Linked DNA regions of Sus scrofa. The protein of the gene in region 2 purifies or fractionates together with the protein of the main gene of each other region. This does not show direct contact. Links are inferred from orthologs where the notes say so. Each region holds a gene or a part of one and is shown on either strand. Other genes may lie near its edges.

What was found.
Region 1: the proteins of CCT2 (region 2) and NEDD1 purify together in Homo sapiens (affinity purification with mass spectrometry; 4 studies listed by BioGRID and IntAct, with this or other methods). This does not show direct contact. The link is inferred for Sus scrofa from reciprocal best matches to the Homo sapiens genes CCT2 and NEDD1.

The regions. Positions count from the first base shown.
Region 1 is NC_010447.5:86,727,207-86,730,857, forward strand, and holds part of NEDD1 (protein NEDD1), read right to left. Parts: intron 3,010-3,651; coding exon 2,893-3,009; intron 226-2,892; coding exon 85-225; intron 1-84. UniProt on the Homo sapiens protein: Required for mitosis progression. Promotes the nucleation of microtubules from the spindle.
Region 2 is NC_010447.5:33,861,443-33,865,093, reverse strand, and holds part of CCT2 (T-complex protein 1 subunit beta), read right to left. Parts: coding exon 3,603-3,651; intron 3,484-3,602; coding exon 3,371-3,483; intron 2,668-3,370; coding exon 2,465-2,667; intron 1,022-2,464; coding exon 921-1,021; intron 718-920; coding exon 590-717; intron 1-589. UniProt on the Homo sapiens protein: Component of the chaperonin-containing T-complex (TRiC), a molecular chaperone complex that assists the folding of actin, tubulin and other proteins upon ATP hydrolysis.

The DNA of each region.
Region 1 (3,651 bases), about 53 Mb from region 2:
TTGTTCCTATGATTTAAATTCACTCTTACACAAGAATTAAAAATCTATATTATCAACTTTATTTTGAATAAACCCATACTGTACCTGGTTACTACCATGGCCAAAAGGAGTACTAGATAAATTAGTGGTTACACTGTGCAAAATAATTTCACCACTGAGAGATCCAGAAGCAATGTAGCAATCATTCCAATTATATGTTACACAAGTTACTTCATCTTTATGATCCTGAATGAAAGAAATGAAAGTAAATACAGTGCTATACAACCTTCAAAGAGCACATTTTCATGTTTTTGTAAATTGTATGTTTTGTTAAATACTATGTATTTGTCAATCTAATATCTGCTTTAACATTTTCCTCAAATAATCTAAAAAAAAAATTAGTCAAATGAGTAGTAAATTATCCGATCAACATCAAATCTTTTCAGGGAACAAAGATTTGTATTTCATAACCATAATAATGATTGGGCACTCTGAAACAAGACACCTAAAGGAAAGGTAATTTTCTAAATGGCATTCTACCTACCTTAAAGGATTCACTTCCACTGACAAGTAACATTTATTTCAAGTTGACTATTGTGAAAGTCCCGGCCTTGGAGAATATTAGTACACAGGTGAGAAGACAGGACATTTAAGTGAACATGCAAATGGCAGAATGAGTGCTAAATGAGTGGCAGAGACAAAGTGTCAGAGGAAAGAGAAAGACCAGAGCTGACAGAGGAAGCTTTGTGGAAGACACAAGGCTGGAGTTCAACCTTCAGCAGGAAATTAGGGGAAGGAGAAAGAAACCGACCCTGCAAAATGGAAAAGAGTGTAAAACAAAAGCCTCGAAGCCAGAATGAGCCAGACACAGTTGAGATTTGATGCTTCCATCTGCTGAGCACCAGCTAAGGTTAGGCATTTTACATATTACTATTAATCTTTATAACAATCACTTTCCCCAATTTATAGGCGCGTTAACCAAGGTTAAGAAACCTGTGTAACCTCACACACGTGTTAACAATGCGTGAAGGAAGGTGGCCCTCTAAGAATTTCAAATGATGGGAAGAAAATAACTATCTGGAGTAACTGAGAAAGCTTAGGATGGAAAAATGAGTAGAATTTTGCCATGTGGTAAGGAGGAGGGGAATGAGTGACACTCCTAAAATGTGTGACACTGTGTGACAAAACTGGCTACAGACTTCAGATCTCAATTCTTTACGATATTCTCTATTTAGACTCAGTATAGCCCCCTAAACAGCTTTAATTCAATTATTTCATAACTGACAAGACTGCACAATGAATAGATTATCTGCGTGCGGAGCTCATCTGCCATTACTAGTTGCTGGACACTGAACAAGTTCTGTACCACCTCAGCCTGAGTGTCTCCATTTGTACTCACGAATAATACTACCTGCTCTGCAGGGCTACTGAGATACACAGAACAAACATGACAGGCACAGTGGCCGGAATACCAAAGAACGCAGTAAAAGTGAAGTATGCTCGTTATTGGCAACTTTTTAATTTTCCTGAAGACTCTTCAAAGTTTAGCTAATACTTAAAATAATGAACTTCCAAAAGGAATATTTTAAACAGCAATCATAGACGTTATTTCAACTTAGCTAAGAGAAAACCATTCTTCTATATACTCTATCTCTAACAAGTAACTCAGTGACATTAAGATACACAACAAAACGATAATGATCTCTGGTATCCGCTTCAAAATGCTCTGAGAGTCTGAGGATGAGCGTGGATAAGCACACAAAGAAAACAATACTGGCCAAGAGCTGCTCATCACCGAAACTGATCGTGATGACCACACGGATAACGGGTTAAGGGAAGTTCTTTCTCTGTGTATAGGCGTGTGTGTGTGTGTGTGTGTGTGTATGTGTGTGTGTGTGTGTGTGTGTGTGTATTCATACACACACATACACATATGTTTAAAATTTTGCATATTAACTTTTTAAAAAGACACGAAAATTAAAAGTAATTTTAAAGAACTTCCAAATATTAAAAGGACACAATAATAAAAAAGAGAAGTCCAAAAAAAAAAAGTCACAACCAGAGGCTTCCATGATGTTTACTTTCATTTTCTGAAACGGCAAAAAGCTAACTATTTAAAGAAACACTGATTGTAAAGAGTTAATTATTTTTGGAGTTGCCATTGTGGCTCAGTGGTTAGCGAACTTGACCAGCATCCACGAGGATGCGGGTTCGATCCCTGGCCTTGCTCAGTGGGTTAAGGATCCAGCGTTGTGAGCTGTGGTGTAGGTCGCAGACGCACCTGGGATCTGGCGTTGCTATGGCTCCAGCGTAGGCTGGTAGCTACAGTTCCAATTGGACCCCTATTCTGGGAAACTCCATGTGCCACAGGTGTGGCCCCAAAAGTCAAAAAGACCAAAAAAAAAAAAAAAAGTAAATTATTTTAGAAACATTTCATTATCAAGATAAAAATATACACACACAAAAATAATACAAACAGTAGTAAAGAATTAAGAAGCCAAATTCCCAACTCTGATTGCTAGATTGAAGACTGTCATCCCAAAACCACTGTAATTTTTTCAAAGTGCCTTAAAAAGATTTCTGGTTGACAACAAACCTTTTCTTTCACTTTCTTTTTTTTTTTTAAATGAAAGAAGTGGTTCACTTGAACAAGAGTAGAACAAAGTGGAAAAAATAATGTTTTAAACACCAGCAATATATCAATATAGTGACATACATGGAGGGGAAGATAAACCAAAAAACCTTAAGTTTTTAGCTAAACAGCATCTTTTCCCTAACAAATCTCACTTCAATTCTGAAGAAGCTTATTTTTATCATAAAAAGTTAACATTAAAAGTCTGATAACCAGTCCTAATAAACACATTGTGGGATATCCATTTCTGTAAGGATTAAAAGAAAAAAAAGGTTGCTTACCTTAAGAGATCGATGAACTCTTTTTGATTTTAAATCCCAAATATTAACTGTGTTATTCAGGCCTCCACTTACCAAATACATAGATGTTGAATTTAAACTGACACATGTCTGCTTTTGCTATTAAAAAAAAAAAGTCTCATTAATATAACAGAGCCCAGGAGTTCCCGTTGTGGCTCAGAGGAAACGAATCGGACGAAGAACCATGAGGTTGTGGGTTCGATCCCTGGCCTCACTTAGTGGGCTAAGGATCCGGAATTGCCGTGAGCTGTGATATAGGTCACAGACACAACTCGGATCTGGCATTGCTGTGGCTCTGGCATAGAGTGGCAGCTACGGCTATGATTCGACCCCTAGCCTGGGAGCCTCCATGTGCCAAGGGTGTGGCCCTAAAAAACAAAAAAATTAAAAAACTTAAAAAAATAATAAAATAAATTTAACAGAGCCTAGAGCTAACTTTCAAGTCTCATCCAACACTTAAAACTAAGCGCATGACGGGAGTTCCTGTTGTGATTCAGTGGGTTGAGAACCCGACTAGAATCCATGAGAATGCAGGTTCGATCCCTGGCCTCGCTCAGCAGGTTAAGGATTCAGCACTGCCGCAAACTGCAAAGTAGATTGCAGATGCAGCTTGATCCTGCATTGCTGTGGCTCTGGTGTAGGCCAGGAGCTGTAGCTCCAGTTCGACCCCTAGCCTGGGAACTTCCATATGCCTCAGGTGCAGCTGTAAAAAGAAAAAAAAAAAATGTATCAGGAGCACAT
Region 2 (3,651 bases):
TATATACACACACACAGTTAGGTAAAAAAAGCAAATTACAAAAGTTTATAGCATATGATCACAACTAGGTGAAGAACTGAAACTAGAAGACTATACACATAAACGCCAACTTAATAAAATAAAAAATTCTGAGAGAACCCTGTTTCTTCTTTATACTTTCTTATTTCCCCATATGAGCACATGTTACTTTTACAATAGGGGCAAAAAGGACATCTATTTAAACAGTTTGTAAACTTTTCACTTCTCCATTGTTTTACTCCTAAGCTATCATTAGCTTTTTGCTACTTCAAACTCCCATCATTTAATGGTGAATTAAATCCCTCTTCCAAATATTATAACCAAAACTAATAACACAACTGCCAAATCAGAAAACTTTTGTCACTGTTGACACAAAGTTTATTAGCAAAGTATATTAACATAAAATTTCACTAAAATCACTGTAATGCAAATGCCTTGCTGAACAATTATATTTGGAGAAAAACAACACTTTCTAAATAACAACTAAATTCAATAGGAAAGTATTTCCCTAAATCATTGCAGAATAAAATCCTTTTTTGATTACAAACATTGTTAGCATGAGCACACAGACCTGTTAATAAAGCAGTTTATCCCATGCTTAAGAATACGTTCAACTTTCTCCTTCATTTTTTCCTTTTCTGCATGTTCTATTTCTGCAACCTTTGCTGTAGAATCAACTCTCACCCTGGAACCAAATATCTAAGACAAAGGATAAAAAAGCAGCATCATTTTCATTACTTGTAAGTTTCATGGCATATTTGGCATATTTAAACTCTTAAGTGTAAAACACACCCCAAACTATGTGTACAGTCATATACATTCTTTCTTTTTTAGTGCAACTGATTCCCCCCTGAATTTTTAGCAGCTAGCAATTCGAATTCCTAGAAATGTAGTTAACATACCTTTATTTTATCTGTATCCATACCAGTATTTGCAATAAGAATTTTAGCATTTTCAATTCGCTTTGGTTGATTTACTCCAATTTTTTTATCCAACAGAAAGCCTATAATATAAGGACAGCATTGTATTAAATACTTTAAGACTGTCTTTAATAAATCTTTTAAGGTATTTGCTCAAATTACTCTATCATTTTAGGGCGGCACATGGAGGTTCCAAGGCTAAGGGTAGAATTCGAAATGTACCCGCTGACCTATGCCACAACAACACTGACCAGGTCTGCAATCTACACAGCTCATGACACTGCTGGATCTTTAACCCACTGAGCAAGGTCAGTGATCGAACCTGTGTCCTTTGCCTAGCAACTATACTTGAATAAAAATTAATTTTTAAAAAAAGAGTAAATGGAGCACTTTTGAATATGTCTCATAATATGCAGGTGTGTAGGTTGCAATGTAAAGCTATTAAGTCCACTTTCTTTAGCTTAAAACCAACACACAAGAAACAAGCTGTGAAGATTCAGATGCACAGGATGAAAGGCCATGAACAGCAGACAAACTTGGCCCGAACCATGCTGTTTACCAGAAATGTATGCAGCCTTAAAACAAACTATTCAGCCTTACCTACTCATCTATAAACAGGACTATCACCAGCAGTAGAGATGCAAGTTACCAGCCTAGGGTTCTGCTAATTTGGAACTATCAAACAAACTTGGTATGCCTATCCCTCCAAGTTTCTTTCAGATGCATATGTAACTTTTACCTTATTAAATCATTATAAACTTGGGTTCACTGCTCTATTCAGCTCAACTTAATTCTCACTGGATGTTGACATGAGAAAGAAAAGCGATTTTAAGTAAAATTCCCATTAGAATGCATGACATGGGGCAGGTGTTCAAGAATGGTACTCCCATGAAAGAGACACAACATGCAACAAAACCCAACTCCAAATCACTGATAAAGCCGAAACCGTAAAGTACAACTTACTCCTTTTTCCTTCTCTACAGAAGAAAATGCCTATACTGTCTACAGACTGTTTTGTGAAGTAAACACACAAAAGATGCTTTGAAAAATTCATACACTATTGTTAAGGAAACAGCAGTTGCTAAGACTCATTTACTGCTCTTCAAGAACACCAGAAACTATATCCTCAACACCCGCCAACTAAACAGTATGATTTACCCAGACCCTTCCTGGAGAACACACATAGTCCTGAAAAAGGTGCCATTTGAAAATAACTGACGTCTAGTAAGAGAAAACTACAACTTCACTTTATTAGAGACTGTACCTTAACTCATGGTATAAAGTAAAACCTAGAGGTTATCAAAGAAATACTGAGGTAGAATGAGAAGATGAAGTAGCATGTTGTTAATGTAACAAATGGATTAAGAAGACAAAAATGGTTGGTTGCAGTATGATTTGTGTCCTAAAAGACAAGTTTTCTGGCTTTGTAAAGTACCATTCGCCCTGATTAACTAAAAGAGGATTTTGTCAGTACTTCACTTTCAACATGTGATTAACACTTCTTTGAGCATATTCAACATACATACCTTCATCTAAATAGGAATCTGCCAGACTTCCTCCGAGCTTCTTGATGACATGAATTGCCTCCAGATTACCAGAGCCTTTCAGTCTGAGAACAGCTTCTACAGCTAACTTAGTGAAGTGGTCTTTGTGGTGAGTGAGAAGTTTTGAGGATAATGTTGTTCCTGCAATGTTCATTAAATCTTGACGGAATTTAACTTCATCAGATCTGCAAAAACAAACAAACAACCCCCCTCAGGCCTATTCTTAAAATGCTTCTCCAAAGTTAACAACTGTTTTGTTTTTCAAAATGTATTCAGACACGTGTCTGTCAATATACTTTCAGCAAACAAAAAATTCAAGAACATAAGAGGATTATACAGCTAGTGGAACTGTAAATTAATAAATTTTTTTCTGGAGGATTACTTGTAAATAACTATGCCTTTAAATACATACATACCTTTGGACCCAGAAATTGTATATTCTTTAAAAAATAGTAAGTTCATAACATTATAAAGCTAAAAATTATCAAAATACAAATCTCCAATTACAGATAGGTAAATTACAGCAAAGTTCATCATCAAATGCATACTTCTACTGAAATACTACAGAGATACTGACACCCAGAAACATGCTTGTTATTCAACTAAGTTAAAGAGGCTAAGAAAACCCTCTAGATGAGGATACTATTTATTTTGCTTATTGTGATTATATATGCAAAAAAACTGGAAATCCAAACTTTAACTTTAGTAGTGACTACCTCTGGGTAGTCACTCTGGGGGTAGTATGGGTTTTTTGGTTGTTAAGGCAGGCCTTTAAGAAACAGGATCATGTTGGTGTATGCTTTTCACTGTTCCCTAGACTTCCTGCCTTGAGAAAATTTTGAAAAGAACAGTAAATGTTTGAAACAATAGTTATTTTGGTATACCAACCCATGGTCAACTGCAGAATTCAACAGAGCCTGTCTTGCTGCCTTGGTGGCTTCTCTCCAACCAGCAATAATGGTCTGTGGATGAATCTTTTTTGCAATTAAAGATTCTGCTTCCTGTTAATAAACAGTGGAAAAGGTGCATCAACAGTAAATTTGTGGGAAAAGACTTCCGATACTCAAAACCATAGTAATTAAAAACCCCAGTAAGACTGAAGTTGCTCATTTAGTCTTACCCTTAGTAATTCAGCTGCAAGAACAGTAACAGAGGTAGTGCCATCGCCA